Drosophila melanogaster: one gene and its partner. The protein of the gene in region 2 interacts with the protein of the main gene of each other region in a pairwise test. Each region holds a gene or a part of one and is shown on either strand. Other genes may lie near its edges.

Region 1 (6,397 bases), on a different chromosome or scaffold from region 2:
ATGGAAATAGCAGAGATATCTGCAGAAGATGAGGATGTGTTTCACTTTGAGACCGAGCACCTGGCCCTGCGTGGCAACCAGTGCTATACCAATTTGCTGCGCACTTTGGCCGTGCTGCAGGCACAAAGGATTCGGGTGCATCAGCAGATTGAGGAATTGGAAGCCACACAAAATATCTACTTGGAGAATCCGCAACATATGCTGGACAAACTGCGAAACAACGAGCCTTTGATAGCGGATAATTACATCACCACGACCGTTCTACCGGACTTGCCAACTCTGTCGCCCAATGACGAGGAAGGGGGCACAAATGAGACACCGACCGATGCGTCTTCATGGACGCAAGAGGCGAACAAGAATCGGGACAGGAGCAATGGACGGTCGGAGAATTTCAATCGCTTGTGGACCAACGAAGAGCAGAGTCGCTTGGAGCAGCTGCTCATCCAGTATCCGCCAGAGGAAGTGGAAATGCGCAGATTCGGGAAGATAGCGAAGGCCTTGGGCAACAGAACGGCACAGCAAGTGTATAGTCGTGTCCAGAAGTATTTCCAAAAGCTGCACGATGCCGGAATGCCTGTGCCCGGTCGCATACCCAAGCATCGACGTCCTGGTTTGAGTAAGCCGAAGATCAAACTTCGCAAGTCAACCTTCTTCCCCGCTCATAATATATCGCTACAAATGCCAGAGGACGATTTCACATTTGACGACCTGCGAATCCCATCGCCTGCGAGCGATATGCTCCTTATGCCGGCATCCAAGATCGAACCAAAGATCGAATCCGAGTACATGGATGCCGATCTGAATGCGGAGTCAAAGCGAAAACAGGAACTATGCCTTAAGCTTCTATCAGCCATTCAGGACGAGAAACGGGAAATGGAGGACGGATATGAGCCAGACTTGCTGGCCGCCAAGTGTGCCGAGTGCGAAGAGGCATCTGTGACCAGGACCCAATGGCGTTGTAACAGTTGTTATTGTTACCTTAATCTGTGCGGAGATTGCCTGGCCAGTCAGCTAATCGAAGGGCGTTTCGAGCATTTAAGTCATGAAGTTGTAGTGGACCAAGAGTCATGACGCTCCTAGAGTCCCATTTACTTGAGTACTAAATTACTAGACTTGCCTGTAAAGCTACAAATTAAATATAAAGAGAATAATTTTAAAAAATTCTATTTTATTTATAAAAACTTAATATTAAATGGTATAAAAGAGAGGCCCTCTTAATTGCGCAATTGGGCAGATGATTTCGGCAGAGATTGAATACGCTGGCGACGCTTTGCTTCGAACTCCGTAGCCAGCTGCCATGTTTCTTTGTCCAACGTATCCTTCCCCCGGGCGATGCCCAGCAGCCGTGAGAGGACCAGCAATCCATGCAGATCATCGGCATTACTTTTGACATTAGCTTTACGCATGTCCACGAAATCCTGCTGGATCATTTCAGTGTGCTCCTCGCTCACGTTGAAGCCGCTAGTGCGCGCTGTGGTCAAGTACTTGCGAAACTGCTGCAGACGTGATGGCTGCAGATAGTGGTGGGCTGCCTTTAGAGATTCATCAACAAGTTCCACGGCCTTAGAATCGGCATTAATGGGCAGCACAAAATCGCTCTGAAAACATATCATTAATAGTTTCTATTGGATATAATGATTATTTATATAAACTTATATTCTTACCGGCAACATACTTCGCCCTTCACTGAGCACGAGAACTGGAATATTTGCTTGGTAGTCTATTTGGTAATACTGAAAGTCGCACTTCAGTTCCTGATTATTGATCAAGTGCGCTAAATGCTGAACGGCATGAACACCATTGGCCTCCAGCTTGCCCTGTTGCATGCACGTCTCGTCGAGCACCAAATGCGTATGGGGAGCCAACTGTAGTACGCCGGAAACCAGCTTGTTTGTCTCATAATCCTTCCTGCAAGTACTCATTAATAGGTATTCAATTTTATACTATTTCTGCTTAGCCAACTTACTTTGGGGCAAAGGCTGCCGTGTTTAGTGTGACGAGAGTCATGGGCATGTAATGGCTGGCCGGCAGTAGCAGCTCCAGAATTTGATACAACTTGGTTGCATACGCCTCACAATTCTTAGGGAGATTACAAAGGTTAAGGGCGAACTTGCCGATGCTCTGCATCTCAGAACGACTGTAGACCGTAGATATTAGGTGGGAGAGCAAATACTCGGCAGCCAGATCGTCATCAAAGAGGCAGAGTTTAAGAAGCATGCGCAGATCTTTGTGCACAGCAAGGTGGGTTGGATACGTCTCCTCACATATTTCCGTTGGCTGTCGAAGGCTTTTGTCCAGCAGCGGATTGGCATGCGGCAGCACCTGGACTCCGAAGGCATGCAGGCGGGGTATAAGAAATGGCGATGGATGAGCTGCCTGCAGTTCACTCAAGTTTTCACAATCGTCTATTTCCAGGGTAGCGGCGTCTAGTGAAGCATCCACTGACAGAAAGCCCACAAAGTCGACCAGCGAGTTAAGCTGGTAGGTATCGAACTCCTCGTAAACCTTTACCATGCATGCCATGCTGGGACGATCCGGCAGAGGCGAGTTAATCAGGTAATCAGACCCAAGAACAGAGGATTTGGAGGCGCCGACTGGCTCGCTATCTTTTTGAATCTCTTTTAGGCAGGGTCGCTTGAACGTTGTTTCGCTCGCAACGTCCACATCCATGGCTTCTTCTTCGCCTACAATAGTCCGCTTCTTGGCTGAACTGGGAGATTGACCCAGACTGGCCAAATCGATCTGGGGACAGCACAGCTTCTCATGCTCCTTGCTCCAATCGTTCAGACCAGGCACAGAGACCACGAACATGGTACGCCTCTCTCCATGCACGTTTCCATCGGCGTTGTAGTCAATCACTTCGCCATTGGCTATTTTCAAGCAGTCCCTGTACTTTCCTTCCTGTACACGTTTGCTGCCGTCGGCGGATTTCACTTCGTAGCGCTCCAGATAGATTTCTGGGTCCATCATGTCCTGGATCATTCCACGAAAGCGCACCAGAGTCTGATCCTTCAGCTTGTGAAGAGGCGTGTAGTTGAGCAGGGGAATCGAGTGCCAACGACTGGGATCCTTGAGCAAGTCCTTGAGTGCAGCGCTGTCCGCTTGCTGGGCGGCCAGTTCATCGGGCGTGCTGGGCAGCTCCATCGCACAGGGCATTATCTAGTTAACGAATGAATTTGCAAATGCCTCAAAAACCTCGAATGCAAAAAACAACAGCTGCTTTGGCGCGCCAAAAACTGATTGCAGCATATTAGTGATGGTCATCGATGGGCCTATCGATATCTGCCAGGGATGTCGAACTCTGCCGCAGAACGGATGTAGAGGCGGATGTGGACATCCGCAAAAAATGTACAATTTGAGAATTACCAAAGAATTGCAGCGATGAGCAAGAAGAAAAGCAATGTGTGGCAGTACTTCTACAAGACATCCGGCACAGTGGCCACCTGTCTGCTGTGCAACAGGAACTACTCGAGGCGAGGACGCGGCACAACATGTCTGCGGAATCATCTGAAGAGCAAGCACCCACCGGAGTTCCTATCTCTATCCGGGGACATAAAGTACCTGGACCTGGTTAAGAGCGAGATCTCCATCGGTTCGCCACAGCACCCCACAGCCCAGCTAGAATTGAATCTGCACGTAAGTGGGATAGCATATAGATGTGCATACATACCTATGTACATGCATATGTACTGTGCAAGAAGTGTACCTTATGTGAAATCGGGGTACATGCCCTTCTAGATATTCTGTCATGTGGAGATGGTTTCCCCAAACTTAAGTTTCCATTCAAATATAGTTTCTTTGGTAGTTCATAAAGTAATTTATGCCTTCTCTTATTTAAAACTTTTTACTAATATAGCAACAGCGGATGCGGATTTTTATCCGCGTTTGGCTAGATCGGCAAACATGTGTTGTGTTTATAAAGTGTAGTTAAGGAGGTTTTAAAAATGTACTGTTATGGTCTTAGTATTATATTTTTATAAATTATGCGTTTTTCACTAATCTGATGCATTAAATTATTCTATTAATCATTTTAGGAAACAGATTCAGATCCATTGGACACCGAGGATATATCCTACAGCAAACGCTGTGATGAGAAGTTGGCCCTCATGCTACTAAATCACTCCTTTGAGTTCATTGAAGGACCAGGATTCGTAAATTTCATTAGGACGCTGCAGCCGCGGTACACGATTCAACCAAGGAGCTACTATGAGAAGATACTGTGCGAGGATATACAAAGGAAAATGCATCAGCATTTGAAGCAACAGGTGGATCTGCTGGATGCCATATCGTTGTCTACGAGTCTCTGGCGTGGTGACAAAGGCGAAGGACTGCTGAGCTTGTCCTGCTCCGGAATATCAAGGGATTTTCAGACTCACCGCCTAATGCTGAAATGCGAGGCTCTGAATTACGAAAGCACTTCGAAGCTAGCTTGTTGCATTCGAGATCTTGTGCCCAGCTTGGCCATTGAGGTGCCCAAAGAGAAGATACACTGCGTAATCAGGGACGAGATGACGGCGCTGCCAGGTTCCCTGCCCGATTGCAGTGTGCACCGCCTGCAGATGTGCGTTCGATTTGCTTTGCAATCGAACGAATTACTGCAGAACCTTTCATCCAAGTGCAAGCAAATAGTTGACCATTTTGCGTCGTCTAAGATGGCCAACGATCATCTGAAATTCATTCAAGAGATCCGCTTGACGCGAGACCCGTGCACACTTACACCTTACGATCCCTGTCAATGGAATTCCGCTTTTCAGATGATGAGCAGCGTGTTTCGAATGAAAGATGCTCTATCCTTGTACTGCGAAGAGTATAGTCTGGTCCAAATATATCCAGATGAATGGATAGAGATCGATTTGTGCAGCAAAGTAATGCAGCCTTGTGAAGAAACAATCAAGATATGGAGCAATCCATCTACGACCACCTCATCCGTAATCCCGCTGGTTGCCGCTTTACGGGATTCCCTCCGAACAGATGTCCATAACTTTGTCTCATCTGTGGTAAGTTGCAGTAGATAAAACCATAAAGTATTGTCTAATATTTCGAATGTCTAGACTATATGCAGTTTCGCCAGAAAGTTGCTTGAAGAACTGGAAATGAAGTTCGCCCACATCACTAGCGACATCAACTTTTTGATGGCCACATATTTGGATCCGAGATATAAGCAAGCATTTTTCACCGAACGTGAGGAGCAGTTGGTGGCCAATGAAGTTCTGCTTCAGCTCGCTGGAGTGCCAGAGGATTGCAATGGTCAGCCACCGCTGAAAATAATCAAAGTGTCATCCACATCGTCCCAGAAGAATGAATCAAAGATCGATAGCATTCTGGATAGCATACTGACAACTGGAACGACGAACACTCAACAGCCAAATACGTCAATGGGCTCCCAGTCTCAGATTAAGAATCTGCTATATCTATACAACTCCGAACCCAGAATCGATAGGAACATGGATCCCCTGATTTGGTGGAGGAGCAACATAAAATACATATCCTTGTATGGCATTGTTAGGAAATTCTTATCAGCACCAGCAGCAAGTGTGGTTAGTGAAGGCTTATTTAGAAAATCAACGCACTTGTATTTCGACATGCAGGCGGGCTTGAGCCCCGAAAGTGCATCCAAAATGTTGCTCATGAAGGCCAACTTTAGCTTTAGCAATTCGGAAATCAATTAGGATACAGTAATTTATATAATTTAAACGTATTTATGTACATAATATTAGCTTTAATCTTACAACTACTTGATTTTCCGGAAAATTAGATTTTGCACTTAAGCCGCGTGTATGGCTGATTGCCTGATGGGTCCTAGCCCCTGTAATCAGGATCATTGTGTTCCTCTTCGTCTTCCTCCTCCTCCTCTTCTTCATCTAAATTAAAAACATGTTTTTCATAATGTTGATTCTAAATAAAATGAAAGCTATGAAATTCTTACCATGATCTCGACGTTTACGTGTGTAGGCTCGTTTGCTGGCGACGGGCGCTTGATCAGTTTCGCCATGTAGCAAGGAATTGCGATATAATATCAGCGGCTGCCATTCCTCAGCTCGGCTGGATGGCATTGCGGGTGGTATTATCTTGTCCAGAAAGCTCATTATGACCTTCTTGTCTTGCTTCAGTAGCTTGTAGTTGAACTCGTTCAAAACCTCCAGGAAGAGCAAGCGAGTTGGAGCCCGCACCGGATCATCTGGCTCCTTGTTCGCAGCGAAATAAATGCCACCACGATGAATGGCGGCCACAGATTCGCGATTCTTGATGGCATCGAAACCAAATGTGAGCGCAAATCGCTTGGCCAACTCCTTGAGGTCCACAAACTCTTGCGAACTCTTTGAAACTATGCCATCCTCACTCTGCTCCTGCAGACTCTTAAAGACTGTGATCAGGCTCAAAAGGAGCGTCATAGCGA
Region 2 (10,927 bases):
ATATGGTCTGTAGTAGAGACTGTGGTAGTGCCATCCCAAAAGGGCGACCCATTGCCACATCAGCGGCTCACTTGATGGAGAATGTGGAGTAAATAAACGAGACCATTTGCAGCATTGTCAAGTGGAAAATCATTGACAAATTTATGAACCCAGTCGACATATAGTACCCTCAACGAGAAAAAATACACGAGTGTACGAGTATATATTTACGTACATTTATTTATCCTCGGAACCGGAGAGCGGAAAGCATAAAGTTAAAAATTTCATTAACAAATCGACACCGCGCCGTCTCATTACTTGGCAACAAATAAATTTTATTAAGTGCGCTTTTTTTTTCCTGCTCGCTCACGCTTTTATTTACGATTTTTCATTAAAGCCATTTGCTGGCATGCCGCATAATTTCCACCCACCGAAGTTGACCAAACCAAACATTCGCCATTCGAGTGTATCCATTAATGTTGCGGCTTATTTGTTGCACTGCGCCAAAGGAATATTACAATCTGATCGAAATAATGTTTACACATGCACCGTCGCTCGACGCAGGGCACAAGGGTCATTCAAGCTGCTGCAGCTAATTAATTGCCTGGTTTTCCAATCAAACATTTTTCGCTGGCTCATACAAACACGCCAGGCGATAGTGAGTGATTCATTTGAGCATTTAATTGAAATCGAATCTTGGGCCAGACAAATCATAAATTGGACGACAGCGCAGCGCTGCCCACGCACAAGAAAAATTACCTTAAATCTGGGAAAATTGATAATCACCAGCGGAAATGGTCGAGTGTTTTCCCAAGAAACCAAGAAACGTCGCCGCGCGTCATCGCCACTCATAAAAACATCAACTCGCATTGGCATCAGGTCTATAGGTCTTGGCCAGAAACGCGACTAGGATGCACTCGAAAGAATTTCAAAATGTACTTTTCAATATGATATTATGTTACTTGAACTATCAGAATGGATTGAAATTGGTAAAGTTTGTGTTCTGCCTTAAATCTTCTGTGTGCAGCTAATTTTTTTCTCACCCTACATACTACTTTTCTCGCAGTGCATTCGACGTGAAAAAGTGCTGCCAAAATCGCCTAATTTTAAGAATGATGTAAGTTGTCGCAATCGTGCGACAACAAAGGCGGTGGCCGCACAGTTTTGGCCAGCAGCCCAATCTTTTGGCCAGCCCTCCGACCGATTCGCAAATGACGAGCGCGCAAGTGGCAGGAATTGTGTGTTAAACGTTTCTGAATTGACTTGACGCGTTTCGGGCCGAGAACAGAAGCCCCCTGGCAGGGGCAGCTGCCAACCTATGCCAACCTCATCCAGCCCAGACCAGACCATCGCAGCCGATCTAAACCATTCGGCAGCCCCAAACGACCCAAAACAACAAAAAAAAAGAAGCGACCCCACAATCATCGCGTTCGGGTGAACGTGCGCCAAATCGCGACGCTTGCCAAAAATCATAAAAAATATATGGCGATTATAGGGAGATGGCATCATTTAATGATGAAGTGCCGCGTTGGCCACAAAAAAAAAAAAAAAAAACGAAAAAAGAGATAGCGAATGGGTTATGGGACATGGAAATGGATGTGGATGAAAGGAAACTGACTCATGCTCCGGAAACGTCACTATCGCAATTGCAGCCACAATGGGCAATGCACTCGAGGACCTAGGACAATATACAGCACTGCCATTGGAGAGGGGACAACAAATAGTTTTGCAATTGCATTTTTGTGGCGTAAATTAAAAACATATTGTCAGGCATTAGCGGACGAGCTAAATTGCGCTAAAAATAGCGCACAGAGAGCGCGATCTTTGAGTTGCATTCTACACGATGATGCACTGGAGAAGCGAGTGTGCGATGTGCATGCGCTATTTGTCGCACTGGCAAATGAGTTGCCACAATAAATATAGCCCATGTATGTAGTACAGTACTTACGCCCGCCTGGTGATTCCAATTCCGCCACTCGGTGTAGCAAAAACGGAGAGAAGAACGAGAATTATGTGGCAATAAAAAATAGTGCTAAAACATTCGACAGCCTAGCTGCAACTGCAACACAAACAAGAAGAAGGGCAGCGCACACTTGCACACCATGTGTGCAACAACAAGATCGCACAGTGCAGCACGGCTGGCGAATGGAAAATGGGCGGGGAAATCTGCTGGATCGAGGAAATGGGCTGAGGATACAGCAGATCACGAAAACGCAGAGCACAGCGACACTGCCACGGTCAAGTGCACTGTGGAAAATGCGACGATGGGATGTCAAAGTAGAATGCTCTAAATAGGTCGGTTTTAAGCACTTGAAATATATATTAAAAATATATAAAAAATATTCAGAAGTTTTAGCAGTAAATCTAGTCTGTCTTAGTAAAACAAAACTTAGAAAACAAATTCAACTGTATTTTTCGGCTCAAAAGTTTTAACTACTTTTTACATGCATTTTGATTACTAATGCATAATTTCAGTCTTAATATATGAATTTATTGAGAATATAAAAAGTAAATTACTGTTGAAAAATCCCCATAAATTGAATTATATATTTTTCTGTTACATTTTACTTTCATATTTCTACGTTTTGCTCCCATTTTCCACAGGGCACTCGTTGTAGCTTACGCATAATTTCTATACGCAAACATAAGCCTAAAATAACAGTATTAACAAGAACAACAACCACAACGGCAGCACTGCGACTAAAACAAGAGGAAAAACCTATGGTGGAAGGGGGTCTAAAGTGATGGTTGCCCCAGGGGTGAGGTGGAGGGACGTCGGCGCTGACTGCGGCAGCGGCGGTAGCACATGTGCGTGCCAAAGGCGAAGCAAAAGCGGACAGAGATCGCCCAGAACTGCGTCAACTGCGGCAGCGGCAGAGGCAGGATCCAACGCTCCACGTTCCCGCACCCGCACCCGCACCCGCTCCCGATTCCGTTCCCCTTCCCACACCCGTGGAACATCCCGTTCCGGGCGTTTAAATATCGTGCGGCAGCAGCTCTCCGGTTTATTGTCAGCCAGATCGCGGTGGCGTGAACATCGCAAGTGTTGAACTACATAGATACATAGAAAATCCTCCGACTTACGTGTGTGTTTAAGTGTTCGATTTTCTTGGGATTTCCCGCGTTCGGTGGCCATAAAAAACAAACAAAAAAAAGAAGAAATATTGGCAATCTTCCCAGACAACTGCCGGAAATGCGAAAGTGAAAGCGGCCGGCCCAGAAGAACGGACGACAGCAAATCACCAGAGACAGAGACATCGAAATATAGTATGTCATCCTCGCTGAAGACCAGCCAAAGTGGCGGCATGTACGTCAAGACGTCGTCGATTTCGGGTATTTCGTCGATTTCTGGCAAGGAGGCGGCCAGTTGCTACGGCGGATTTATGTCGCCTCCGCTGAGTGCCAATATAACGGCCAATAATGGGGAGCGGGAAATGTTCCGTGTGCCGGGAGCCAAGGTGGAAACGAATGAAAGTTACGCCTGCGGTGAGCTGCAGTTTCCGGACTTTTCACACCTCTGCTTTGCCGCCGAGACACCGAACTCCGTGTTCAGCGACTGTCACAACTATGCTGGCCAGGATCAGCAGCAGGATTCGGATCAGGATGACATTGTCTGCGCAGCGGCGGAAAATACGGGCATGCCCTATCAGCAGGGACAGTACACGCAACTGAATCGCGAGGATATCTTCCGCTTCGAACCGGAGGACATAGCGCGTCTGACTGGCGAGTCCGAACTGCCCGGCATGTTGCAACATCCACAGACGCCATATACCCCATATACCCCTTACACACCCTACACACCGTGCAGTGCACAGAATAGTCAGTATGCCGTGCAGCCGGCGAATGACTCCATTAATCTGGATATCGATTATTTTAATTACGACGAGATTAATTGCCAATCGAAAAACCAGTCACCGTGCTCATCACCGCACCTCGACGCCTGGCTGAACTTCAATCTCGGCGAGATTTCAGCGGCCGCATCATCGAGTGCCGCATCCCCGAAGTTGGGCAATGTGTTCGAGGAGCAGGTCAAAGAGGAGGCCTCGCCGGCGAAACTGCCATCGATGAACTCCACCTTCGGCACTCCCAAATGCATTCCCATGTGCGCCAGCAACTACGAGGATTACGCGAATCTCTACCAACAGGGATCGGGGTATTCCACGGAGAACTACCACAACAATATGGCTCAGGTCGTCGAGAAGCCCAATCGCGAGCACAAGGCCATCTGGACCATCGATGAACTGGATGAACTGATGTTGGGCGAGCAGCAGCAGTTCCTTCAGCATCATCTGCAGCAGCAACACTTGCAGGAGCAGCAGGAGCAACTGCATCAGCCACATGGGCAGGAACAGCAAACACAGAACTGCAAAGACGATCTGGTCAACTATCTATCGGATGAGTTCATCAAGGCCGAGGAGTTCCGGAGCCTGGACAGTGACGATGACGAGAACTACAACGAGGAGGAGGATGACCTGGACAATGACGTGTTTGCCCCACCGGCGGAAAGTGATCCCAAGCCGGATTCAACCTGCTGTGATCCCGAGGCGGAGCCAGAGAATGAGGTCATCCCACTCATCTGCCGCTGGACGGGATGCGACGAGGAGTTCCCGCACCAACAGGCCTTCGTCGAGCACATCGAGAAGTGCCATGTGGATGTGCGCAAGGGCGAGGACTTCTCCTGCTTCTGGCTAGACTGCCCCAGGCGCTACAAGCCCTTCAATGCCCGCTACAAGCTGCTCATCCACATGCGAGTTCACAGCGGCGAGAAGCCCAACAAATGTCCGGTAAGGATGAAAAGATGACTCTATATGCAGGACCAAAACCCATTTGACCCCATTGACTAGTTCGGAGATTTCCTTGTAGAATATTTTTTTTTTTGTTTAGAAGAAAAATGGCAACTCTGTTCGGGAATCCATCGATTGAGATACATGTGTATATTTTCTCTCTGTTTACCAACCTTTTCAATCCCTCATAGAATATCATTTTTCAAACATCAAACAATAGATTTGGATTTTATCCATTTTTTTTTCCCCCTGGCCGCAGCTGAACGCATTTGTTTATGCGTCCAAACACGACTTTTCCGCCGTAGGATCCCATTTTGTGCGTTTCGCTTTCCTTTTTGTTTGTGTGGCATCGTTGGATGGTATGGTATGGTATGGTATGGTATCGTGCACGTGTTGACATTTGATGCGCCATCGCTGGGATGATGAATTGTGCGGCGCAGGGCAATCACAGAAATTGACAGGGCGAGGCGAGAGCTGCGAGGCGGTATCCGAACGGAATCCGGAGTCCACTTGAAATGGAGTTGCTGGTAATGTTATTAGGGCCAACACTCGCTACATCTTCTATCCCTGCCCTTTGCCATGCTCTTTCGTTTTGATTTTTGAGTAATTGATGGATTCTTGCAGGATTTTTTTTTTCGATTAAATTGGCTCGGGCATCATCAACTTGGCCCACTGATGCTGCTCCAGCTGCCATTTGCCATTACACATGTTTCTGTTTCTGTTTCGGTTTCTCTTACTGTTTCTGTTGCAAAAACGTAATTTGCCCCTTTTCAGGTGGAGTGGTCGAGTGTTGCGAGTGGGCGGGGCTACTACGTGCAACACCTGCGGGCGTCAGCGGCAACAGTAACAGCATCTGCTGCGAGGTCACAATTTTATGCGTCCTTCCAGTGCCTCATCCTCTTGCTTTATCCCTTGCGCCATTCCTTGCAAAAAAAAAAAAAAACACCTTCCCTCCCACCCTTGGTAATTGCAATTTTCGATGACACCTTTCCACCTTTTTGTTTTTCCATTACAGTTTCCCGGCTGCAATAAAGCATTCTCGCGTTTGGAAAATTTGAAAATTCATCAACGCTCGCACACGGGCGAGCGGCCTTATGGCTGCCAGTATAAAGGTTGCCTCAAAGCGTTCAGCAATAGCTCGGATCGGGCGAAACATCAAAGGACCCACTACGATACGGTGAGTATCCCTATATGCTATGCATATGAGTGCGGCTGAATGCGTGGGCGGTGCCGGGATGGGTTGGCCTCTTCTCTGGGGTCCCAGCAATTTGCAGTGCGTGTCAAAAGGAAATTGAAGAGCTCGCGGCTGCAAAAGATGCAGCTGGGGCTTCACCCGACGAGCGTGAAGCGGCTTTAAGATTTAATGGACTCCAAGGCGCTTAGCGGCCCAAACAGGAGCTCAGAGTGGCAGAAAAAAAAAAGAAAAAGGAAATGGTCGAAGGAGCCACTGTTGCTGCTGCCAGCATGACATGTGCACATTTCGCATTTCGCTGCCTGAGTGATTTATAGTTTTGCGTGTGTACTGTATCTGTGAGAGCGAGCGGTGGCCGATGGCCAAAGTAACAGCAGCTGGAATAGGACTACGAATCCGAATAGGAATCGCAATCGGAATACGGAAGGGAGTACGGTGGGGCAGGAGTACAGAGGCAGGGACTAACAGCAGCCGCGTCAGCGCGTACGACAACCGGAAAAAAGGTCAAAACCAGCTGAAAAGGCCAGCGATTCAGCCAGCAGCAATGGCCAGAACAGCAGGCAACAACAGCAACAACCGCGGCAGGCAAATCGAATAAACTAAACGAGTTACTTTCGTTGCCTAGCTGAAGGGGCAGGGCAGCCAATCAGGATCACAAAAGGATACAATGTGTGTTGGCCTGGCGCGGCTGCCAATGCTTGCGACACACTCAGAAAAATTGGTGTTTCAAAAAGAAATTCTTCACTTTTTAGTAGCTCTCTACATTTTATTTGGAAATGCCTAGATAGTTTTCATAGTTATTGCAGTGCATATATTTATGCAGTAGGTATACTTTTTTTTGATAAAACTAAAACGATTGATTAATTTCTAAGCTTTAAGCTCCATTTGTCCAAGACAAATGTCAGTTTCCATGTTAATAATGAACCTTTTTCGAGTGCACTGCCCCTTGCTGTTGTCGCTTTCGGCCAGCGGCTGCTGCCTGGCCAGAATAAACAAAATGCAGCATGACATTTCAAAACGATTTGACTTGGCAAATACGCTGGCCCATCTGTTAGCTGGTGAACGTTTGCATGGGTGTGTGTGTGCCATGTGCGGGTGTGTGAGTGTGAGTGAGTTAGGAGCGCCTGCAGGGCGAATGGGAGAAATCAATTGCATAGTTTTCGGCATCGGCACTGAGCCGCTGCGGTTTGATGCGAACTCGCATCTGAGGCAAATACTACAGTACTAACGCAACGCTCTATCGATTCTCGCTCTATTTGGTACAGAAACCGTATGCCTGCCAGCTGCCTGGATGCACCAAGCGCTACACGGATCCCTCCAGCCTCCGCAAACATGTCAAGAACCACGCGCTGCGCAACGCCAACGGACAGCTGCGCCGCAAATCTGCCGGCGGCGCTTCCGTACCGCCCTCCGGTCCAAAGAAGGCGGCCAAAACACGCCGTCACTCCGAGTCGGCACTGGTGCAAAGGGGCGTGGGTGCGGGCGTGGGCGTGGCCGTGCCAAGTGCTCCGGGGGATCAGCGACAACACCGCAGCAATAGTTGCAGCGAGGCATTGCTGCTGCAGCAGCATCAACAGCAGCAGCAACAGCAGCAGCAGCAGCAGAAGCAGCATCAGCCAGAAAACGAAAGGACGACAGACCGCAGCAATTGCGGCACCGGTGTTGCAGCTAATAACAATTCAATGAACTTTAATGAGTTGTCAAATTGCATTGTCATCATCGAGCACAATCAGAGCGGAGGTCCTGCAGGACCTGCAACACTGGCAACCGCAACAGCAACAACAACGGCAACAGCAACATATGGCAATGGCAACATGGCGCCCGCACCGGAAACGGAAGTGCTGAGCGTTTGCAGCGGTGGCGGCAGCAGTAACAGTAACAGCAACAATAACCGTTACAATGCGAATATTAATCAATTAAGCGAACTCGAGCAATTGCTGACGACGGCGAAGCCCACAGGTACGCCAGCCGCATCTGCTAATGGAATTAGCCTGGCCAACAATAATGGCCGCGCCAATGGTGACAGCAAATGCCACTTGAGCGAGTTTGTGTCGTTCGAGTACGTGACAAAGTATCTGACGGATGTCTACGAGCCGCAATGCAAAAGCCCACAGCCCCCGGCTAATTTCCATTTGCAGCCCGAATTTGACAACAGCTTCGACATGCTGGACTTCCCGCAGTTCATTTAAGTTAGCTTAGTCCTTAGAACCAATTAAAGATGCCCCAACTGGAAAAGTCAGCGATTCAATGCCCAAAGATCTCAGTGCCTGAGCCCTTATAAGAATGCCTACCATTAAGTAAGTCTACACGCCTGTATATATACTATAGTTAAGTAGTGGATTAAGTCTCGCCAAAAGAAACGTTCCTGAATTTGAAAACACAATCCAGTGATTAGTCGCGTCTTCCCAAACTCTTCCCAATCGTATATATTTAATTAGAATAGTCTCGGCTAAGTACTACTTGTAATTGGATTGTTAAAGTTTGTCAACAAACTTATTGGCCGCAATAAATAATTTAATTTGCATACTTTTTTCTTACCAACTGCATTTGAATATTTAATTTTATTTAAATATTCATTTTAATTACTTGGCAAAACATGCTAATGTATGGATCACAAAAAAGTCAATGATAGATTGTGGGCAATGTTAATGAATTGGATTAAAGCAAATTAAAGCGATGCTTCATAAAAGTGTAAGTTTAACGAGTGTTTTTTTTATTGGAGATCTGTGTTTCAAAATAAGATTAACTTAATGGCTTTTTCTACCCGTTACTCGTAGAGTAAAAGGGTATACTAGATTCGTTGAAAAGTATGTATGGCCATTCACATTAGCTAAGTAACGGGTATCTGATAGGCGGAAACTCGACTATAGCATTCTCTCTGAGAATACCGTGCAGTAATTTTAGAATATAATTCAATTTGGAATACCTTCAGGATGCCCTATGCCCATGTCCATTAACCCTTTGAGTGACGATAAAAACCAGTTTTAAGTCCCCGCCGGTATATATAATTCCTGTTAACGCTCCGTGATTACGCCTATCCATTCGATTCCGATTATATATCTCACACCTGGCCATTTCTGTGGAAAATCGGACACAGAGACATGCACAACATGCTGGGATTTCCGTTTCATGTTTGCCCGTCTGACTTTACTTAATTGCTGTGCATTCAAAAAATAATTTACAACGCCAGAGCGTCGCATGTATGTGTGCACATAGTTAATTTATTATTCGCCTTTAACACATTCTCAGTTTTTCATTTATTTGTTTACATATATCGAATTAATTTGCATTGCATCCATATACAATTCATAAAAATCGGCTTAAGTCTTAAATTAATTTGTGTTCAGCTTGCGCACGGATTGCAGTTCATTCGGGGTCAGTGGTACGTTAAGTTCAGCGCATATATAGAAATGGGTTAAATCAGTGGCACATTCCCCTAATTTGATTTAAAATATACCCAGCATCATGTAATATTGGAAATTACCGCCAATGGAGCCTGTTCTGTGTCTCATTAAAAATGATCGTGTTAAGCCTTAAACCTTGACTTGATGCTAGTGGCCAGTGGGAAGTGGAAATGTTGCACTGTCGATGCAATTTTAGTGACTTAATAAGGCTCGAATGGCCTCTTTCGTTAACTGGTTGCAAATGGCCATGGTTGTGGTGCACAGCGGGCTGTAAATGTGTAAACAACTGCCGACATATCAATGAGCAAACGGGGGGGCGGATGCTGCCAGGAGGGCGTGGCTGGTTGGCTGGCGGGCGGAGCAGTCAGGCAAAAATAAAGTGGCCAGAAGGATGGTCCCGTTAAATGAGCAGTTAACATGGCCCGTTATGAACTTTAATATTAATAACCATTTATGCTTATGACAGACAATGAAAGCCGTGCGCAAATTTACTTGCCGCAGCCGCAAGCTCTACCTCCCGCACCCGCTCCCCTCCACCCACCAAAAAAAACCCGCCGCTCTTGGCCATCCCCATGACTCGTTTCTGTTTTCGCTGTCCAACTACGGCCCTAAAATGCTTAGGGCGGGTGTTTCTGGTGGTTCAGTTGGTGGTTGGGCGGCGGGTGGTGCACTATGCATTTAAAAATGCTGCAAGTGTGTTCCAGTTAATATGCAGACCGACACGGGTCTTCATTACAGCCCGCAAACACAGACAAGGACATAAACACATACAGACACACACGGACACATACATGCACAGAGAACGGCAGGGACAGCGTCAACAAAATAAACAAAAATGTAAAGCAATTAAAAGCAGCCCAGCAGAACACAACGGAATATCCCACATAAAACATGAGCAAAGGCATGATTTTGACTTTTTTGCTTGCTTACTCTCTATTACTACTACCCCGACTACAAAAGTATTCACAGACACACACTGTGGCGAAGGATATGCCGCATTTTTAAAGGGATTATACAAAAATTGAGTTAAGTACGTATACTTGATTTCACAAAAAGATACTAGAAGTGAGCTATCACTGTGCTAACTTTGTGGCCAAAGAGAGTGAGCTCATAAAACTAAAGAAACTTCATTTAAGTTCAGGTTTATAGCTTTAACAATGATTAATATGTTGAATTTTCAATGCACACTTCAAACTTATCCCCAGTGCCAATACACCCCGCTAATACCCTCGATGCCTGGTCATCGAAATGACTGCTGGACTGCCCGCTGAGGGCTACAAGTGGTCATTGGCTGGCTCCTGGCGTTCTGTTCGAGTGCGGATTTTAGTTGGATCTGAAATGAATTTTTTTTTGCTTTTGAGGTTAAAGGGCGGAATCTGTGCAGCTAGGCTAGGCGCCGGCGAACACGAGCGGATGGCAGCTAAATATTTACAAGCTCAACGAGAACACATCCGCAAACAAAAAGCGCAGACACGCAGACACAGGAAAACAGTGGAGTTTTGTGAAAATGGCCATCCTATGTACGCATACATACATATACATATGTATGGTGCACATAACCACATGGT

The links. The genes of interacting proteins can lie anywhere in the genome.
Region 1: the proteins of lmd (region 2) and CG13775 interact in a two-hybrid assay, tested with the Drosophila melanogaster proteins (one large-scale study listed by BioGRID).

The regions. Positions count from the first base shown.
Region 1 is NT_033779.5:6,953,857-6,960,253, reverse strand, and holds CG13775 (uncharacterized protein), read left to right. Parts: upstream 1-3,303; 5' UTR 3,304-3,381; coding exon 3,382-3,636; intron 3,637-3,910; exon of another isoform or gene 3,911-3,946; intron 3,947-4,034; coding exon 4,035-4,997; intron 4,998-5,051; coding exon 5,052-5,669; 3' UTR 5,670-5,799; coding exon of another isoform or gene 5,800-5,861; 3' UTR 5,862-5,897; downstream 5,898-6,397. Other genes in the region: Atac1 (Ada2a-containing complex component 1), read left to right, coding at 1-1,071; CG3430 (uncharacterized protein), read right to left, coding at 1,215-1,598, 1,665-1,908, 1,967-3,156; SA1 (stromalin 1), read right to left, coding at 5,800-5,861, 5,927-6,397.
Region 2 is NT_033777.3:23,018,773-23,029,699, reverse strand, and holds lmd (lame duck), read left to right. Parts: upstream 1-2,986; 5' UTR 2,987-3,248; coding exon 3,249-4,763; intron 4,764-5,131; exon of another isoform or gene 5,132-5,278; coding exon of another isoform or gene 5,279-5,290; intron 5,291-5,778; coding exon 5,779-5,940; intron 5,941-7,220; coding exon 7,221-8,144; 3' UTR 8,145-8,478; downstream 8,479-10,927.